2 linked regions of the Neurospora crassa OR74A genome follow. The protein of the gene in region 1 purifies or fractionates together with the protein of each later gene. This does not show direct contact. Links are inferred from orthologs where the notes say so. Each region holds a gene or a part of one and is shown on either strand. Other genes may lie near its edges.

Region 1 (5,277 bases):
GGGGTGCGGTCCGGTCGACTTTGTTCTTGAAAAGCTAATGCAGATGTAATTGGGCCGGAGGAGCTTTTTCGAGAATCTCTTACTTCACAATGGCAGCATGGTTCCAACAGATATATCCTCTTATCTGCTTTAGGGAGTTGAGTTCCGAAAATATGAGGGAGAAGAAAGAGAGATAATTCGTTGGCTGTTCCCCATCAGATGTTTGCGGCGCAGCAGCAATCAGGCCCTCAACTCCCTTTCGCGGCTCTGCTTGCCCTTGTCTTCTTGACCGACTGTCGGCAACATCATGTTTCCGGCTGCCACCATGACTGACAAGTCGGTTAGGATGCTGTGGCTGGCGGGAGCGAGGAGCAATTCACAACCGAGAAGCTCATAGAGGGATCAGAAGGAGTCGGGTTTGAATTGTGCTCGCGACGTTGCACCATATGCAAGTTGCAAAGGGGGCGTAAGGGAACAGGCGGGAAATCTCACTTGGACGAAAAGCAACGAACGACCAGATATCCCAACAACACATGTATTTTATTAACTGCTTTCATCGGCGATCAGATGTTTTTATTTCACGGGGAATTCTTGTAGGAGGTTTTTCTTTTCACGGTTTACGGTCGGTCATACCCAACCCAACATTTCCGGCCGATTCTCTCAACTGGTGCTTCGCTCTCCAGCCACGGAGGGTTCTTGCTTACCACATAAAACATACACACACTCAACGTACACTTAGCCTCTCCTAGATAGTTATTTCTTAGCCTTTTTCTCTCTCGCGCTCTCAAGGCGAATTTTGCCGTCTTCCTCAGTGATAAGTGTTTACCTTTGCACTGCTCCTCTCGATCGACAATGCTATGATTGGCAATTTTACTATATAAGCACTGAGCTTTCAGAGAGGAGACCGTAGGTGTCTCGGTGGTTCTCATCTGTCTCATGACTTTCTTACGCAAAGAAGAAGGAAATTTGTCTATGCCCCTCTTTATATCCATTTAGTTAATAGTGGTAATGATACATGTAGCGTACATCGATGCCGAAGGGGGCGAACTGAATGAGTCTGCAACAGATTGTTCGGGTATTGAGGAACGAACAAACTGTTACGCGCAATGTGCCCAAAATACGTATGAAGTCAACTCATCTCATGCATGATCCATCCCCGTCTCCTTTTTCTCCGGGAATCGCGAGATTTGCCGCCCACTTCGCAGCTTTCTCATCGAGACCGAACCCGATTTCCAACGCATGGTCCAACTGAAGCCGCAGCAGGTGCAGAGTATCACATCATCCGAGGTTGCCTTGAAGATGCAACAAGCACAATAGAGCGTACCCGCGACATGCAAAAAACTGGGTGCGCGCGACTCTAATCGTCCATTGGCGAATTCTACCGCTCTGAGACGGCAGAGAGTGACTGCCGTTCCTCCCTCCATCTCCCCTTTTCATTCCCTCGCTCCTAACTAGACCTCCTTTAACCTCTCCGTAAGTACCAGTTGAACGCGAGTTGGTTGATAGTGGGGGAGAAAGGCGACGGTACTTCGGACTCGCCCGGGCGCGCCACGGGGTGGCGGAGGTAGACGGCCGCGCAGATGTTCTGGTTGACCTCAAGGTAGCGGGGGATGAACGCGAAAGCGGACATGTAGTTGCGCGGCCTCCAGGGGGTCATGTACGGCTTGCTCGGGTCGATCTCGTTGTCCTCGTGCTCGTCGTTGTACTCGATCACCTTCTTGAGCACCTGGCGCGACTGCTTGTCAAGCTTCTTGCTCAGCTCCTTGGCCGCCTCCTCCTGCTGAATGGCCTTGGAAGGGGAGACCGCAAGGCGCTCGAGAAGCATCGTCAGGTCGTCCACCACGTTACCGGTTGGCGAAACGGACCCGTCGCGCCGCTGCGCTTGCTTGATGGCGGCCTTGATGTCGCGCTTCAAAGCGCGCAATGCTTGCTTGCGCGTCGCGGAGAGCTGGTGAGACGGCGAGTCGGCGATGTGCTTGGCGTACTGCAGCAGACGTTGGAGCTGCAGGAGTTCGTACTTGCGGTTCCAGGCCTCGTCGAACTTGGAGGTGTCGACTTGCTTCTCCTTCTTGCCGGACTTGGAGGCTGCTTCTTGTGCCTCTCCTTCCTCGGCCTCCTCGGCCTCCGCATCCTTCTCTTCGGCGGCTTCCTGTGCTTCCTCCGCAAGCTCCTTCTTGGCGGCCTTCATAGCCGCGGCGAGGAGCTTCTTGTCCTTGGGCGCACCGGTCGCATAGAGGACGCGCTCGACGTCGACTTGGAAGAGATCGCCAGGGTTCAGGAGGTAACCGGGGTGTTTCATCTGCAAAAGGATCGGGTAATGTTAGCGCCGAAACAAGCAGCTTTGGCATGGGTGCACTGTATTGTGGGATTCGGTATTGGAACGTTGTGATGGTGTACATGCCTTCTTGCCGTTGACGGTGACGGCACCGTGCACAACCATCTGGCGGGCCTGTCTCGCACTGCTGGCAAAGAGGGCTCTGAATATGGCGATATCGAGGCGTCTCTCGAGAGGCGCAAAGGTCATTTGCTCGTACGGCGTGGGAACCTTCCTGCCCGGGTTGGCGATGACTTGCTTGGCAGGTTTCTCGTCGGCGGTCTTCTCGTAGGCTGGGGGCTCTGAGAGGCCGGAACCGCGGCCGGCGGCTTGTTCGCTGCCGTTATATTTGGCCATGTATGCCGGGTCCATGTTGACGACGGCCGGTAGGCGACGGCTAAACATGCGCGCCCATTTGCGTTCCTTGATGTGCTCGCCGTGGTATGCTCGTGTCAAGGACTTGGCGAGCCATTTCTGCTGGAAGAATGTCTTGCCGCTGATTCTGGGTTCTCTCCCGGCCGTAGCCAGGTTGTACAGGTTATATTTGTTCCATGTCGGCCTGATGGGCTATTCGGAAGAAGAAGAAGCGCACACAAAATACGTCAGCATGATCGCGTGTGGTGGGTGTTGAGTGTCGTGGCAATGGGACTGGCAGGTAGTAGGTAATGGGGCGAATGGGGTGATGATGCGGCGGCGGCGACGATGACCAACGGCAAACCCGGCGACGGCGGCATAAAACACCGAATAGCACATACCTTTTTCTTCAAACTGTGGTACTTGAACAACCTCCGGATCTTCATGTTGGGTGTGGTGTGTTTGGAGGAGCTTCGGGGGATCGGATCGGACTGTAGGCCCCGTGCTTTTGGCGAAGTGGACGGACCGGTTCGGCGCAGGTTGTTTGGAGATTGTCGAGTCCGGAGCGGTCCGGGGCACCTAGCAGCACTGCCAACGAGGGGAGCTTCCCGGGGCCCTTCCACCTCTTATCGGGCGCCGTCCTCCGAAAATTATTTCAGACCCGAATTGGAGCACGCGCTCGCCCATTGGTCGCATTCACGTGAGAAGCTCGGGCCACTGTGCGCGTCAACTCCAGGCCGGATGGTGGAGAACTGGCAGGCACAGGATGCGGGAGCTAGAGCGCATGCGGTATAGCTCCGCAACCTCTTGGCGGATTGCGGGTGCAAGTGGAGTGGGGCTAGAAGCAGAGCCAGGCGGTAGAAATCGGCACAAAAAGTCTAAACCCAAAGGCGGTTCCCTTGGACCTGGGTGGGGCTGATTTGGTTGCTTGCTTGGTTTCGCCGCTTCCATTTTTTTGCGCTGAGGGGGAGGTTTTGACAAGTGCAGTCCTCGATATGACTCCAATGCCGACAGACCCTGGAAAAAGTCAGGGCAGATGGGTTACGCTGCTGTATGATGATGGAGGGAGGGAGCTCAGTAATGGATGGACAAGACTGAATCAAACTCTCGATCTTTGACAAGGGAATTGAAGTGTGTGTTACAGTTCAGAATTATCGAGGTCCTACCTGACTTACACTACGTGACTACCTCTACACTTCACACACGTCCTGGGATTTGCTGGTGAATGGCCGACTTTCCTGTCGCGTCGATCAACAATCAACCCTGCACCAACCCAACACCATTCCCCCACTGCACCCTGCAATAACATTTTGCGCCTACCGCCCCAAAACTGGAGTGCACCTGAAGGACCCACTAAATAATTTCGTCGTTTTGCCTGCTTGGTCCCCGGTCTCCAGTGCACTTTCTGCATTTTCATCATCCGTTCACCATTATCTCTCTCCCGGCCATCTACATCCATTCTTCTCTTCCGTGCACGCGCGTCACGTTAGACGGTCAATTGCCTTTACAGCCGCTTGTACTTTACCCTTTCAAATACCTACAGGCCACTCCGACCTTCATCATGAGCGATACCACCGCCAACACTGAGGCTGCGCCTGCCGTCGAGAATGTTCAGACCGAGGTCCAAACCGAGACTGTAGAGGCCCCCGTCGCGGAGGCTGCCCCCGCCGCCGAGGAGGCTCCCAAGACTGAGGATGCCAGCAAGGAGGAGGAGAAGAAGCCTGAGGCTACCAAGTCTATCGACCGCGCCGACTACAAGAACAACAGGAAATACGATCCTTCGACCCAGCCCGTCACTGACGATCCCGTCAAGATCCGCAACCAGGTACGATCAGACTACAAAAACAGTTGGCATGCTGCGTGTCCCCGTGTCTAACAAATAGTCTTAGGTCGAGTTCTACTTCAGCGACAGCAACCTCCCTACCGATAAGTTCATGTGGGAGACGACCGGAGGCGTGGAGAACAAGCCCGTTTCGCTCAAGACCATCTGCAGCTTCAAGCGCATGCAGATGTTCCAGCCCTACTCGGCCGTCGTCGCCGCGTTGAAGGAGAGCGCCTTCTTGGATGTGTCTGGCGAGGAGGGCCAGGAGACGGTCAAGCGCAAGAAGGCCTACACTTCGTCCTCTGATGCGCAAAAGGCCCGTCTGGCTGCCAGCGTTTACGTCAAGGGTTTCGGCGAAGAGACCGGATCCACTCAGTTCGACATCGAGGCTTTCTTCACCAAGTTTGGTCAGGTCAACCTGGTCAAGCTGAGGCGTAACGAGGAGAACAAATTCAAGGGCTCGGTCTTCGTTGAGTTTAAGACGGAAGACGAAGCCAACGCCTTTGTTGCCCTGAACCCCGCCCCCAAGTGGCAGGATCAAGAGCTCGTCATCAAGAAGAAGAAGGATTACCTGGACGAGAAGACCCAGCTCATTAAGGAGGGCAAGATGGAGCCCGGCACCAGCAAGAAAAAGATCTTCTTCGAGGGCAGCATCAAGGGTGCCGAACGTGGCCGCGGACGTGGCGGCCGCAGCGGTGGTGACAAGGGTGACTGGAAGTCGCGTCGTGATAACGACCAGAGAAACGGCTTCAAGGGTGGCCGTGGTCGTGGAAGGGGTGGCCGCGGTGGCCGTGGCGGCCGTGGTGGT
Region 2 (4,433 bases), on another chromosome or scaffold:
AAGTAACTGACAAGCCACAACCGACGCAGGCAAACTCCAGGCAGTTCCCCCAAAATGATAAGTAGTACGTCAGCCCCCTATTTCTCTGGCAAGCCTTTATGGGTGAGCGTTGGAGTCTGAAACAGACTAAATCATTCTTTATTATATTCCCTTTCCATCTTCCATGCTTTCATGCACTTCGATTGGTGTTGTCTATGACCTATATCACCTATCAGCGAGGCAGTCGCATTAAACATATCTGTTGCACTGGAGAGAATTAGACGCTGGCTTTGTCTCAGCCAACTGTGCTTTCGAGTGTTAGTTGTACCAAGGACGGGTTTCGGACCGGATTATGTGTGTAGGTGGGTTCGAAAAAAAGAACGAGAATCATTCCACTTGGGCTTCCAAGCTGGACTCACTACTTACAAGCTTGTTAACAATCTCAACGTGAGTACCGGCTCTTCCCCAGTCATACCTATCTCCCATCATCCATCTCACCGTTGATTAGCATTCGCAATCTCACACATCTTCTCGACCATCATCATCTTGGTTGACTTGACCGGGCACACACTACGGCACCCAAGACCAGAGACGAAGCAAATGTGCACCTACAAGACCCACATCCGCGTGTGCCGCCGGTGCAGCAGCGAGGACACAGTCCTCATTTCAGAACAACTCTGTTCCGTAGCCAGGAACAGCGGCAGCGGCATCTTTGGCTCCTGCCTATCCGGGGTTTCCGGCCAACGAGATCAGACGGGGTACAAGTGCTGGCAATGCCAGGACGAAGCAACCCTCCCGGCATCCCGGTCTCGAAGCAGTAGTGGCAGTGGGAGTAGCACCTCGAGTGGCAGCACAGGCGGAGGACCAAGGAGGAGGGGGAGCAGTGTTAGTGTTAGTGTACCCATTGGAGCGCAAGGTGTGAACTCCATGTATGGATACAACAACAATAACAACTATCACCATGGAGTTGGAGGGGGTGGTGGCAGTGGTGGTGTTTATGACAGGGGGCAGCAGCAGAGACGGATCTCGGTATCAGGACAGACGACGACGACGACGACGACATTGATGATGTTGCAAGGACAAGGGAGGGAGTACGTGCCTGGACCGGCAGCATTACCGGTATCAGAGCAACAGCAACAGGGACAACAACAGGATCTCGAAAGGAGGTTGAGGAGGATGGGGAAGATGAGGGCAGACTTGGGGAGATATGATGGGCGGTTCATATAGATCAGATTGTTCGCGTGGGTATTGCTGGCATTGGTCATGTCATTTGTCGTATCGATCCGAGGCATCCAAGGCACTCGGTTCCTGGCAGCCATGTTTGTTAAGTGTGGATCCAGTCGAGCCGATCTGGACCCTGGAACAGAAGAATGCTGGACCCTTTACTTGTTGGTAGAATAGCTAGAACTTATAAAGGTGTTAAGTGGTATGGCGTTGAGGAAACAAATCGTAAAAGCAGACCATCAGTTCCGTATATAGTCGACTAAAATAAGCTATTGATGAACAATTATCCTCTGGGCGCGATGTGAGTAGTCGAAGATGGAGCTGGAGGTAGGCCGCCCGTTGTTACGCGCACCTGAACCTCAACTGAAGACTGACAAAATTTTAGTGGGTCCAAAGCGTCATTGTGGGGGAACTTCCGCTAGGTGGGAGCTTATCGGCTGGCGCTACGCTTTATCGATGGGGTTCTTGCCTCTTGTCCCCGCAGCCGGGGCCTCATTGGATGGTCTGTGCTCGGCATTTTTTTGCGCTAGCTACTGCAGAGCTTTTGAAGATTTCTGGAGACGGGACCACTCAGCTGCTCTCGGCACAGGTTCGTGGAGCTTTCAGCGAGCGGATCCAATGATCAAAACCATCCATCGTGGATTGTCATCGAATTTCTCCATCACTCACGTTACCCATCTTTTCGTCTCGCTCCAGTCTTCGTCCACTCACTTACCCCAGCTTCCGTCCTCGACAACACTCCTCTGTCCCAACGCGCAACAACACGATCGGACCCGAATTTCCAATCTACAGTCAACAAACTACCCCCCACCAAATCCGTCAAGATGATGTCTCTTCGTGCTGTCGCGCGCACCACTGCGCCCCGTGCTCTCCGTGCCGTCTCTGCTTCTCCCATCACCCTCGGCCGCGCCACCGTCCGCGCTACCAGCAACGTTCTCAGGACCCAGCTCCCCCAGAAGGCTTTCTCGACCACCGTCTTCCGCGCTGCCGCCACCGAGATCGACTCTGAGCTCTCCGAGAAGCTCTCCACCGAGATTGGCTATGAGCAGGACATTGCCTCCAACGAGCCCGTTCCCGCCACCGTCAAGGATTTCCTTGAGAACGGCCCCTTTGAGCTTGTCGATACCCCCGGCAAGGAGGACGTTGTCCTGAAGCGCACCTTTGGCAACGAGCAGTAAGTTGAACCCCCAACATGACTTCGATCAAGAACCATGCGCTGACCAAGGTACGCCAGGATCACCATCTCCTTTTCCATCGCCGACCTCCAGAACTACGAGCCTGGCATGTTCGACGAGGACACGGCTCTCGGTGACGAGGAGGGTGCCCAGAACGAGGAGGACATGGGTGAGGACGGCGGCGCTCCCGTCCGTCTCAACATCGTCATTGAGAAGCCCAGCAAGGGTGCCCTCAACATCGACGCCGTTGCCCAGGACGGCTCCATTGTTGTCGACAACATGTTCTACTACCACGACGCCAAGCTCGCTCACGGTGAGAGCGCCGAGACCCAGCACGCTGCCCAGGCTGTCTACCCTGGCCCTCCCTTCGGTACCCTCGACGAGGATCTCCAGGTCCTCATGGAGCGCTACCTCGAGGACCGTGGCATCAACCAGGCCCTTGCCCTCTTCGTTCCCGACTACCTTGACATGAAGGAGCAGAAGGAGTACCTCAGGTGGCTCAACAACCTCAAGGGCTTCGTCGATGCCCAATAAATGGGGAGAGATGAGATACTGTCACGAGGAATGGAAAATCCAACAAGGAAAAGGCGAGAGGATTCGAGGCTGCGGGACGGCTTTTTGATTCCGCAGCTGATGTATGACATGTACCTGTAATTATATCCCACGTTTGATATCACGACTCCATACCAAAATTTGTATAATGCAACAGAAGCCGATGGGAACGGGTTGTGTAAGGATGAAGATGCTGTAATAGGACCAACGTCCAAGTGGACAAGACAGTTTTTAAGTTGATACAGCACCAGAGATATGACCGCAAAGGGTCCAAGTCATGAGGTGGTATGGCAAATCTTGCCCATTCTCGTTCTATGCCATGCTACCCTTGCTCGCCTTGGAAGCCAGCGGTCATGCCATTGGTTGAACTGGGGTCACTGATCTTTTAGCCCAGCTGAATCGAACTTCAACTTTGTCCATCTCCTTTCTCCGTCTTACCTTTTTTCCGTTGCAGAAACATTATACTTTGTCAGAATGTGCTTGTGATATGACATCTTTCTAATCAATTTTTGCGTTCGTTTCCGAGGATTCCGGTTACATTCATTTCATTCGTACATTTTGTCCTTAATTCACGCAGTCACTGCAACTCAATATTCGCATTGTGGTGAACATCTTGCCTCAGAACACCATCAAACTGCAGACACGCAGTCAGAACCCGCTACTCAATACCTAACCTTTACAAACGCCTCTAAATAGCACCGTTGATATGACTACAACATGGATCTGAAACACGCACACCAGGCCCAGTACAGCGGCGTACACCAAACAGACGACGATGACGACTATCATCCCCCCCTACCTGTCTCGAGTTCCTCCCGGACCCAAGCCAACGACGACCACCAACCATCAGAAGACGAAGAAGCCCAACTGCTATCGACAGAAGACTACATTGAGCAATTCGAATTCGACGACAACACCGACACATCATCGCCACCTTTCTTGACGACCAAACACTCGAGATCTAATGCCAAATCCCGACTTTCCCCAATCTACCGCCTCTTCACCTTCCTCTCTGGCTCCTCCCACCCCCACCGGCAAACCCTCACCCCTTTCCTGCTTCCGTCAATCCAATCGCTTCCCCGCCTTACACTAGAACGCCTCCTTTCCCATCCATGGCAGCGCGCCGCTCTGTTATCTACCGGTCTACTCCTTTGGCTCACCATTCTTTCTGTTTCCCTGGTTCAGTCCAAGGGTACTCTCCTCTACGCGGATGGAGAGGAGGGAGGAGAGGTAGTCAGACACCTAGACTGCGTCTCAACCTTTTGGGGACCAGGCAACGAGTGCGGCGTCGACGGCGAGCGGTGCAAGCCCTTTGGGAACGTCAGCTTTGCATTTCGTTGCCCGGCGGATTGCAGACAGGTTCAGGTGCTGAATCCGAGGTGGGTTGGGGGGCAGGAGGTGGTTTATAAGCCTTGGGTAATCGGTGGCGGGGATTATGGAGATGGTTCTGCTGCTGGTGGTCTAACTGCTGCCAGCACGGAGACGGAGACGGAGACGGGGACG

Evidence for each region. Proteins that work in one complex are often made in the same cells at the same time.
Region 2: the proteins of NCU08296 (region 1) and NCU06086 purify together in Saccharomyces cerevisiae (affinity purification with mass spectrometry; 3 studies listed by BioGRID). This does not show direct contact. The link is inferred for Neurospora crassa OR74A from reciprocal best matches to the Saccharomyces cerevisiae genes NAM9 and MAM33.

The regions. Positions count from the first base shown.
Region 1 is NC_026504.1:2,501,380-2,506,656, forward strand, and holds NCU08296 (mito ribosomal protein S4), read right to left. Parts: upstream 3,283-5,277; 5' UTR 3,094-3,282; coding exon 3,049-3,093; intron 2,861-3,048; coding exon 2,381-2,860; intron 2,279-2,380; coding exon 1,442-2,278; 3' UTR 898-1,441; downstream 1-897. Other genes in the region: NCU08295 (RNA-binding La domain-containing protein), read left to right, coding at 4,209-4,472, 4,537-5,277. UniProt on the Saccharomyces cerevisiae protein: Component of the mitochondrial ribosome (mitoribosome), a dedicated translation machinery responsible for the synthesis of mitochondrial genome-encoded proteins, including at least some of the essential transmembrane subunits of the mitochondrial respiratory chain.
Region 2 is NC_026507.1:1,859,267-1,863,699, forward strand, and holds NCU06086 (regulatory protein suaprga1), read left to right. Parts: upstream 1-1,824; 5' UTR 1,825-2,027; coding exon 2,028-2,377; intron 2,378-2,437; coding exon 2,438-2,912; 3' UTR 2,913-3,130; downstream 3,131-4,433. Other genes in the region: NCU17215 (hypothetical protein), read left to right, coding at 580-1,206; NCU06085 (LCCL domain-containing protein), read left to right, coding at 3,648-4,433. UniProt on the Saccharomyces cerevisiae protein: Not known. Binds to the sorting sequence of cytochrome b2.